2 linked regions of the Arabidopsis thaliana genome follow. The protein of the gene in region 1 interacts with the protein of each later gene in a pairwise test. Each region holds a gene or a part of one and is shown in the gene's direction. Other genes may lie near its edges.

Region 1 (4,043 bases):
TATGTTAAACTTGAGATTTTTGGTTACTTTTAGAGGATCCTGAGATTGGGCTCTGATCAGGATTATGTTTTGTGTAGGGTCAAAATGCTTCAATGTTTAGGAGGATGTCAACTGTAGCGTCGATAAGCTCAGAGAGTAAAGAGGGTTTGAAGCTTCTTGTCACTGGAGGACCTCAAGCTCAGAAATGGGTTGGAATTTGGCTTTTTGGTTCGGCTGCTTGGGTTTTCAGCATGGTTGTACTTGGCGGTGTAACCCGATTAACTCGATCTGGTTTATCGATGACTGATTGGAAATTTACTGGTGAATTCCCTCCTCTGTCAGATGAAGCTTGGGCTAAGGAGTTTGAGAAATATAAGCAGTCACCTGAATATAAGCGGTTAGTGTTTCGATTTTGGTAGCTAAAGCTGTTGCTTGCATTTGCGTTTTCTGTATTTGGACGAAGTCTTGATCTTGAAAATGCTGTTTGTGTTTTGGGATTTGGTGTTTTGTAGTGTGAACAAAGGGATGAACCTTGAAGATTTTAAGTTCATATATTGGATGGAGTATGCTCATCGAATGTGGGGAAGAGGATTGGGAATCATGTTTGCTTTGCCGTTTTCTTATTTTCTGCGTAAAGGGTATATTACTCTACGTCTTGGAGTTCAGCTCTCTGGTTTATTTGCGCTTGGTGCTGGACAAGGTTTCATTGGTTGGTGGATGGTTAAAAGTGGTTTAGAGGTAAGCATTAGGAAGTGTGGTAGATCCTCTTATTAGATGTTGTTATGTGCTGAATATTGTGTAACCAACCAGTAATCAGTTTGGTCTTGTAGGAGCCACCGTCTGAGTATTCTCAACCGAGGGTAAGCCCATACCGTCTTGCAGCTCACCTGACCTCAGCTTTTGCCATTTATTGTGGACTTTTCTGGACCGCTCTCTCTGTTGTTATGCCTGAACCACCAGCTGAGTCACTGGCTTGGGTTCGCGGAGCAGCTAAAGTGAAGAAGCTTGCATTACCAGTAAGCTTGATTGTTGGTATCACTGCAATTTCAGGAGCATTTGTTGCTGGAAATGATGCTGTAAGTAAACTAACAAAGTTGGATCTAAGCTTCTATTATATTAGTTACAGAAAGGAAGCTTAGTATATTGATCTCTCTGTTTGTGAATTTTAGGGTCGTGCATTCAACACATTTCCCAAAATGGGTGACACATGGATCCCAGATAATATATTTGAGATGAAACCACTTTTACGCAACTTTTTCGAGAACACAGCAACTGTTCAGGTACACCATTGACACAAAGCTTTCTCAATTTGCTTCAAGAATCTCAAAAAGACTGAAAAATTACTTAAATTTCAGCTTGATCATCGCCTTCTGGCAACCACAACATTAATCGCAATCGGAACAATGTGGTGGTTCACAAGGAAGCTAGACATACATCCAGCTGTTAAAGCTTTGATCGGAAGTACTGTTGGAATGACTGCTGTTCAGGTAAAATCAATCATCATAAACTTTAATGGAAACCTAAAATCAAAACCATTGATAAGGTTTCCCTTTTTGTATTTTGCAGGTGACATTAGGTGTATCAACGCTTCTGAGTTATGTTCCGGTTTCACTAGGAAGTGCACACCAAGCAGGAGCTTTAACACTTCTCACTTTGATGCTACTTCTCAATCACACTCTTCGGAGGCCATCACCTTCTCTTCTCAAATCTCTTCCACAAGTTGCTAAATCAAATTTCAGCTAAGCCCTCTTCACCAAAATCTTTCCTTTTTCATTATTTACTAAAAAAACAATTCTTTGGCTCACTATGCTACTAGCAAGCTTTCATCGAATCTTGTGTCAATGATGTTGTATGGTTCGAAAAATAAAGTACAAAAACAATTAACAAAAGTTTCATATGAATCCCAGAACTCTGATAACTTTCATTGATAGCTTCGTGTTGTTTGTTTCATTGCCAATAGAAAATCATTGGATAATTCTAGTTTTAGAGTCAATAATTTCTTATACCAATTTGGTTCAGTGGTAAATTTTAGTTCGGTTTTAGTTTAGATACGATTCGGTTAATTCAGTCCGGTTCAAATCCGTAAGCCTTGTGGTTGTGGATAATGTTTCGAGACAGTTTTTTGGCGTTTTGGATATACAAGACTATCCACGTGTCGTAATACTGTAGCTTATCGGTATCCACGTGTCAGTAGCCTACCATCTTCCTTTCTATATAGCCATGGTACAAAATTCTTTGTTCAACTTCACACTACTACTATGGAGAATCCTGGAGGAAGGAGAAGAAGAGACATAGCCATAACCGATGGAGAAAGAACGACCGGTTCTTCGGTTGTGGCTGCAACCGTAGCAGCTGTTGCAGTGGTAGGACCGCTTTTTGGTCTGATGAGTTTCAGCTTTGTGGCGACGGTGACTCTGTTTCTGATCGCTTCTCCATTGCTGCTGATATTTGCTCCAGCTTTTATGGTAACGGTAGCGGTTCTTGTGTCGGCTATGGTTGGTGTTGGGGTAGCTGCAGCCATGTGGATGATGGGAATAGCCGCTTTGGTATGTTGTGGCCGAGAGATTGGTATTGAAACCGGACTGGCTGGGAGGATGGTTGAGTCGGTGGTGAGAGAATTAGGTTACGGTCGGAGTCGTTACTTGCGAGACAAATCAGAGGATAGTTATTCAACTTCTTCTCCTTCTTCTCGGGATTACTCTTCTTCTTAGTTCAAACTTGGAAAAAGTCTCATGATTCATGGGAATTTCAAGAAGATGGTGAATAAAGAAACAAAAAAAAACAGAGACATGGCTATGATAAGAAAACAAAATTAAGTAGATTTTTTCGAGAGTGAAAATTTGTAATATCTATCCAAAGAAAATCTAGTAATGCTATATCATTTTTTTCAAGTTGTGTTTTTTCCCAAGTCAAGACAAATAGCAAACAGATGAAAACCAAAAATAATAGAATAAATAAATTGTAAGTTTCTTTAGGTCAAAACAGATTGTTAAGTTTAATTGATATAATAATTTTCAAAGATAAAATTAATCACAAGTTGTGGGGGATGGATTATCCGAAGTACAATCACCATGTCTATCTGAATTGTTTGAATTATCCAAATCCACATTATCCGGATTATTATCCATATTATCGAAAACATAGTTTTCCAATTTTTTTTTTTTTTTTTTGATAAAATGTGAATTATATTACCAAAAGGAAAGAGGTTATTTACAAAGCTGGGGGCAAGGAGCTTCTATGGCCAAAAAAAAATAAAAAGCCTTAGATAACTATTACAGAGAAACTGAAACTAATTTTCCAATGTTAACAAGATAAATACATATATGTCTGTAAAGTATAATGTATTAATTATCAATTGATTTTGAATTAGAAGTCTAAGAATTTTATAAGTGTCTCTCATCTAATTTTCAAATTCAAAAGTATACTACTATATCTATTCCATAAATATTACTATATATTTACATTTTGATCGATATTCAAGTTTGTAATAATGTGGATTTACCACTACTTGTTTACAACAAAAGATGACACAAGTAGGGTCCTTCGTGATTTAGAACAAAAGGTACAAGTTCGTACGCGAAAAAGGTACTTCTACAAGATTCTGTGCTTTTCACGAATGCTCTCATAGTCTCACTAATGCACACGAACGCTTTCGCAATATTCTCCGTACTTGTCGGTACTTCACGAATACATTCCCTTACAAAATGAAAAAAAAGTTGTCATAACTTTTTAAAAAAAATCGTGTCATAACTTCAATATGATCACAAATTATATTAAAAAAGAGTACAATTTCACTTCATAATCCAAAGGCTAGTTTGTTATCCAAGTCGTTCTACCAATCCCCAAAATGTTTAAAAGTTGGAGTTTGCATAGAGAATATCAGAAGAATTATATAATCTAAGTGTAAATATATGAAGAATATAATTTTATGGGTGAATAATCTGAATGTAAAAGGAGTTGACCAGGCGTTGAGTGGGTGACCTACCGGCTTAAGGGAATCACACGCTCTGTAGCGTTGAATTCTTTAAAGAGTTTAATCAATTCATGCACATCTGATGCTAATT
Region 2 (4,849 bases), on another chromosome or scaffold:
AGGATCATACTTCTCTGTTTCATTTGTCATTGTCTCTAAGCATGCCGCATGGTAAACATGGCCGCACGCTAGAACAGCAGGAATTGGAAGGTCAAACCTGGCAACTGGAGACCTTTCAGTTAAAAGCTTTGAGCAACGCCCACAAGTCTGCTGATCAACAGAAGGGGAGCATGAGAATCTGCTACTACTACACCCACTTAGTCTTCGTCGTCCGGAACCTAAGTGCTCATTATCAAAAGACCATCTCTCCCTTTGAGACTGAGCCACGAGCTCACAAAAGGCGTTTATGGACCAGCCACCTTCAGAAGAAGCAAAATGGGACCCAGTGGCAGTGTCATTACTACAGGTCGAAAGCACAAAGGACGACCTTCCTTCAGATGTTGAGTAATTATTGGGAGATTTCAATCCCAAAGTTTGACTATCAGAAACCTGCCTAAACAACTGCTGCCCAGGTGAACCTCGAGCACGTCTAGACGGAGTTGATCTGGGAGGAAGTGAATGTGTGTGAGCTGAAGGAAGATCAGAGACCGAGGTGGAACTTGACGGATTTGGTAAAACTGATGAAACAATATCTGATGAGTCAACTATATTCTTCACCTGAAGAATTAAAAGACGAGAGGGTTAAGAGACTCTGAAGGGACGAAAAGAGACTCTGATTGGAGTAAGTAATGATCTCACCTCAACACGAACAGGACTTGCCAAGGATACATCTGCCCAGAGAAAATAGATGCATGAGAGACAGGAAAAAAATCCTTCATTACAGTAAGAAAATAAAGCTGAAATGATCTCTACCAAAAAATGAAATGTCTCTCGATCTAATCCTACCAAATAAATGTTGTTACCCCTTTGACTGGATTGAGTAGACTGGAAAAGAACATCCACGAAGGAACTAAAATCGACTCAACAGTATATTCCCAAACAATGAAACTGAAAGTTCTACACTTTCCCCACAAAAAAAGTGTTTGAACGAACATACCTGAAGGAGATCGAATCGCCAAACTTGTACCCGCTAAAGGAGCTGTAACCATCGAAGCTGTGCCCATCTCTGAGTCTGCGGATTTCTGAGAGCCAAGAGTAGCTAAACCCCCAGTTTCAGATGACGGAGGTCCTCTCTCTAAGCCTAACGACAACTTATCGATGTCAATACCTCTACTCCCAACATTATGATTAGATGAATCTTTAATCTCATCAGCTACACGCCTCCTGTTGTCCCGTCGAAAACTCCACGATGGTGAACACACTGAATTATCAATAGCTCCACTGGGAACATTTCTGTCCTTTGCAGCCACACAGCAAACAGACCCCATAATCCTTAAAAGAGAGCTGTAATGAATATGTCTTACACAATCTCCATTGGTGGTGCTTCCTAATCTACCACTGAAGAACTTATCACAGTAGCAAACCACAATTCTGCATATAAACAAACAGAATGTGAACTTCGAATCAGAGCCATTATAATACATAGAGGTGAAGGCAGAGACCTCAAAATCTAACGCAGAAATCATCAATGGAACGGAATTAAAGTAAATACAATAGATGATTCTAAAATCCGGGGGTTCACCAGGGACTCACCAGAGCAACTAGGGTTCCGCAGGATTGAAACGAGGTATATGAAGATGCGGCGGAATTCGAATCCAACGGCTGAGAGAGATTTCAATTACTCGACGGAGATGGCCGCCGATCTGAGAGAGAGAGAGACGGAGGTTGGGTGCGTCGCAGGGAAATTGTGCCACGTCACCCTTCCTCTCTTCTTTTTCTGTTCTCTGTTTTTCTTGTGCTACTATTTGTTTTTGGTCAAATTTTACTTTTTTGGTCAATTTGTTTCTTTTTTTTTTACATAACAATTTTTTTTTTTTTTTTACTGAACAAACATAACAAAATGTTTTTTTTAACAAACATAACAATATGTTTCCTAATGCAATTTGATTATATTTTTTAGTAGTACTTAGTAAGTCTTGGTATGTGTTTATGGACACATCGTTTTCGGGAAACGAATTAAATTGTACTCCGAAAATGATAAATGCATGGAGTAATTGTATACCAACTAACTTGTAATAATTTGAATCAACACATGCTCTTTTGTTTACGCAGCCCATGCATTTATCGTTTTCGAAAGTATTTAATTCATTTTGTTATAACTACGATGAGAAGCCGAGAGAACCACAGAATTATAATGAATCGGATAAGAAAAATCAACATTCTCCCCCTATAAATACAAAACAACTAGCTAAAGTTCGAAGGATTCATACATAAATCTTCAACACAACTCTTTAATTATCTAGTTTAATACAAATGGCGGCGATAGAGGACAGTCCAACGTTTTCCTCTGTGGTAACTCCGGCGGCTTTTGAGATAGGCAGCCTCCCGACAACCGAGATACCGGTGGATCCGGTGGAAAATGATTCAACAGCACCGCCAAAACCGGTGAGAATCACCTGTCCAACAGTCGCCGGAACTTATCCCGTCGTTTTATTCTTCCATGGCTTTTATCTTCGCAACTACTTCTACTCTGACGTTCTTAACCACATCGCTTCGCATGGTTACATTCTTGTAGCCCCACAGGTACATAATTTAACTATACAAAAAATAATTATGAATCATTTAAAAGGATAACTTACGGTATGTAACATGTAACATGTAAAACAAAATGTACATTAATTGAGATTGATTGTTACGTGAAAAGATATAAGTTAATTTTATATTCTTGAATGACAGTTGTGCAAATTATTGCCGCCGGGAGGGCAAGTGGAAGTGGACGATGCTGGAAGTGTGATAAACTGGGCATCGGAAAACCTCAAAGCTCACCTACCAACTTCGGTAAATGCTAATGGAAAATACACCTCACTCGTGGGCCACAGCCGCGGTGGGAAAACGGCGTTTGCGGTTGCGCTAGGCCATGCCGCAACATTAGACCCATCCATCACGTTTTCAGCTCTAATAGGAATTGATCCAGTCGCAGGAACTAACAAATACATTAGAACCGATCCGCATATCTTAACGTATAAACCGGAATCTTTCGAGCTGGACATACCGGTTGCAGTGGTGGGAACCGGACTCGGACCGAAGTGGAACAACGTGATGCCACCATGCGCACCAACGGACTTAAACCATGAGGAGTTTTACAAAGAGTGTAAGGCGACGAAAGCCCATTTCGTGGCTGCGGATTACGGACATATGGATATGTTGGACGATGATTTGCCCGGTTTTGTTGGGTTTATGGCCGGTTGTATGTGTAAGAATGGGCAAAGAAAAAAGTCTGAGATGAGGAGCTTTGTAGGTGGAATTGTGGTTGCGTTTCTCAAGTATAGTTTGTGGGGTGAAAAAGCGGAGATTCGATTGATTGTGAAGGATCCTTCCGTTTCTCCGGCCAAGCTTGATCCTTCACCTGAGTTGGAAGAAGCTTCTGGTATCTTCGTCTAGATTTGTGTTATGTACTATTATCAGAGGGGTCTTGAATATTTGAAAAACCTATCAATGTTTTCTAGCTCCAAGCTAGCTATTGTTCATGTCCTAAGTTGCATGTGTATTTTTATTAAACTCGATCAAAACATTTGTTATAGTTTTACCCCAAAACTTTACAGCTTCTTCTTATACTAAAACCTAAACACATTTAAATAGCTATATAATTCTCTATATAATTCTTATATAATGAAATGTGACCAAGCTTTTCAACTTCGTTGCAATGATTCATGTAATTTGGTTTAACTCCGTCACAAACTCTATATCTTTGTAACATACCCTTATTCAAACTTTCTTGTTGTATTCTAAAGTTAATGGTATTTGTAACATATCGCAATTTCGATCTTATTTTCGTAAGGAGAAAGGAAAAATTTGCTCCTGCACTACAACATTTAATGAGAGCTCCAAACTCTACAAACAAGTCAACAATGACAAATTAATTTGGGCCTGCACTACGACAACGATACAGCAAAATGGAGACAAAACCACATTTAAGGTTTTATTGTAGGCAAATGGTCCTAAGATTGTCTGTATACGAAAGGTGCGTCGTGAGTCTCGTGACTCTTGTGTATGTGGTGGTTATTTTACTCTCGAGTTCCACGTGTGTTTGTTATAATTGTTAGTATATACGAAAGATTGTTAGTTATAACCACCAGCTGACCTGCTGAAGAAAGGAATTGAGATGAGCCGAAAAGGATCGAGTCATAAAGCTTGGACCGGTAGATATTTAAATGGGCCTAGGCCCATATTGGTCATTTACTTTCAAAGTAGATAAAACAGTTTCCCACACATCCCACTAAAGTCACATCCAAACATTACAAAAAGAAAAAAAGAAAAAAACCACCTTATCCATAACCATCCCTGACACAGGCGCCGTACACGTGGCGTCCATTAGGCTTAATTTAATCGGTGACTGTTACTTGATGACTTGTCAGTTTTCCACGAGTTAACGGTTCACGTCATCACGGCTAGACACTGAATTCTCATTTTTATCCCTTCACCACGACCATTAATCAAATGCAAGATATTGGTGAAAGGGTATATTCGTCATTGAAACAAACATGAGTCGATAAAATTGACAGAGTCACAGATTCTATTTTTTCCTCTCTCTCTGCTCTTTGTTGATCTGTCTGTGTGGGATTCTTCCTTTAGTTCCTCTGTTGATCTATCCAATCGAATCTTACGAAAATTTTCGGTAAAGTTTCACTCTTTCTTGTATTTCTATCATAGGTGATTGTAGAGATTCATCAGATTTTATGTGATTACGTGGTCAATTTAGCTACTAGGTGATATAATATAAACTATAGTTTTCACTTGTTTTGATCAACATGTTTTGTTTTTTTCCCGACCTTTTTAGCTATTGTATTTGTGTGGTGATCAGTTATTTCTC

The links. Proteins that work in one complex are often made in the same cells at the same time.
Region 2: the proteins of AT5G56100 (region 1) and CLH1 interact in a protein complementation assay, tested with the Arabidopsis thaliana proteins (one large-scale study listed by BioGRID).

The regions. Positions count from the first base shown.
Region 1 is NC_003076.8:22,714,884-22,718,926, forward strand, and holds AT5G56100 (glycine-rich protein / oleosin), read left to right. Parts: upstream 1-2,033; 5' UTR 2,034-2,237; coding exon 2,238-2,690; 3' UTR 2,691-2,966; downstream 2,967-4,043. Other genes in the region: COX15 (cytochrome c oxidase 15), read left to right, coding at 78-376, 492-717, 810-1,055, 1,149-1,259, 1,335-1,466, 1,546-1,722.
Region 2 is NC_003070.9:6,802,367-6,807,215, reverse strand, and holds CLH1 (chlorophyllase 1), read left to right. Parts: upstream 1-2,123; 5' UTR 2,124-2,292; coding exon 2,293-2,562; intron 2,563-2,715; coding exon 2,716-3,420; 3' UTR 3,421-3,730; downstream 3,731-4,849. Other genes in the region: AT1G19680 (RING/U-box superfamily protein), read right to left, coding at 1-597, 679-710, 977-1,307. UniProt on the Arabidopsis thaliana protein: Catalyzes the hydrolysis of ester bond in chlorophyll to yield chlorophyllide and phytol. Shows a preferential activity toward chlorophyll a. Does not seem to be required for chlorophyll degradation during senescence.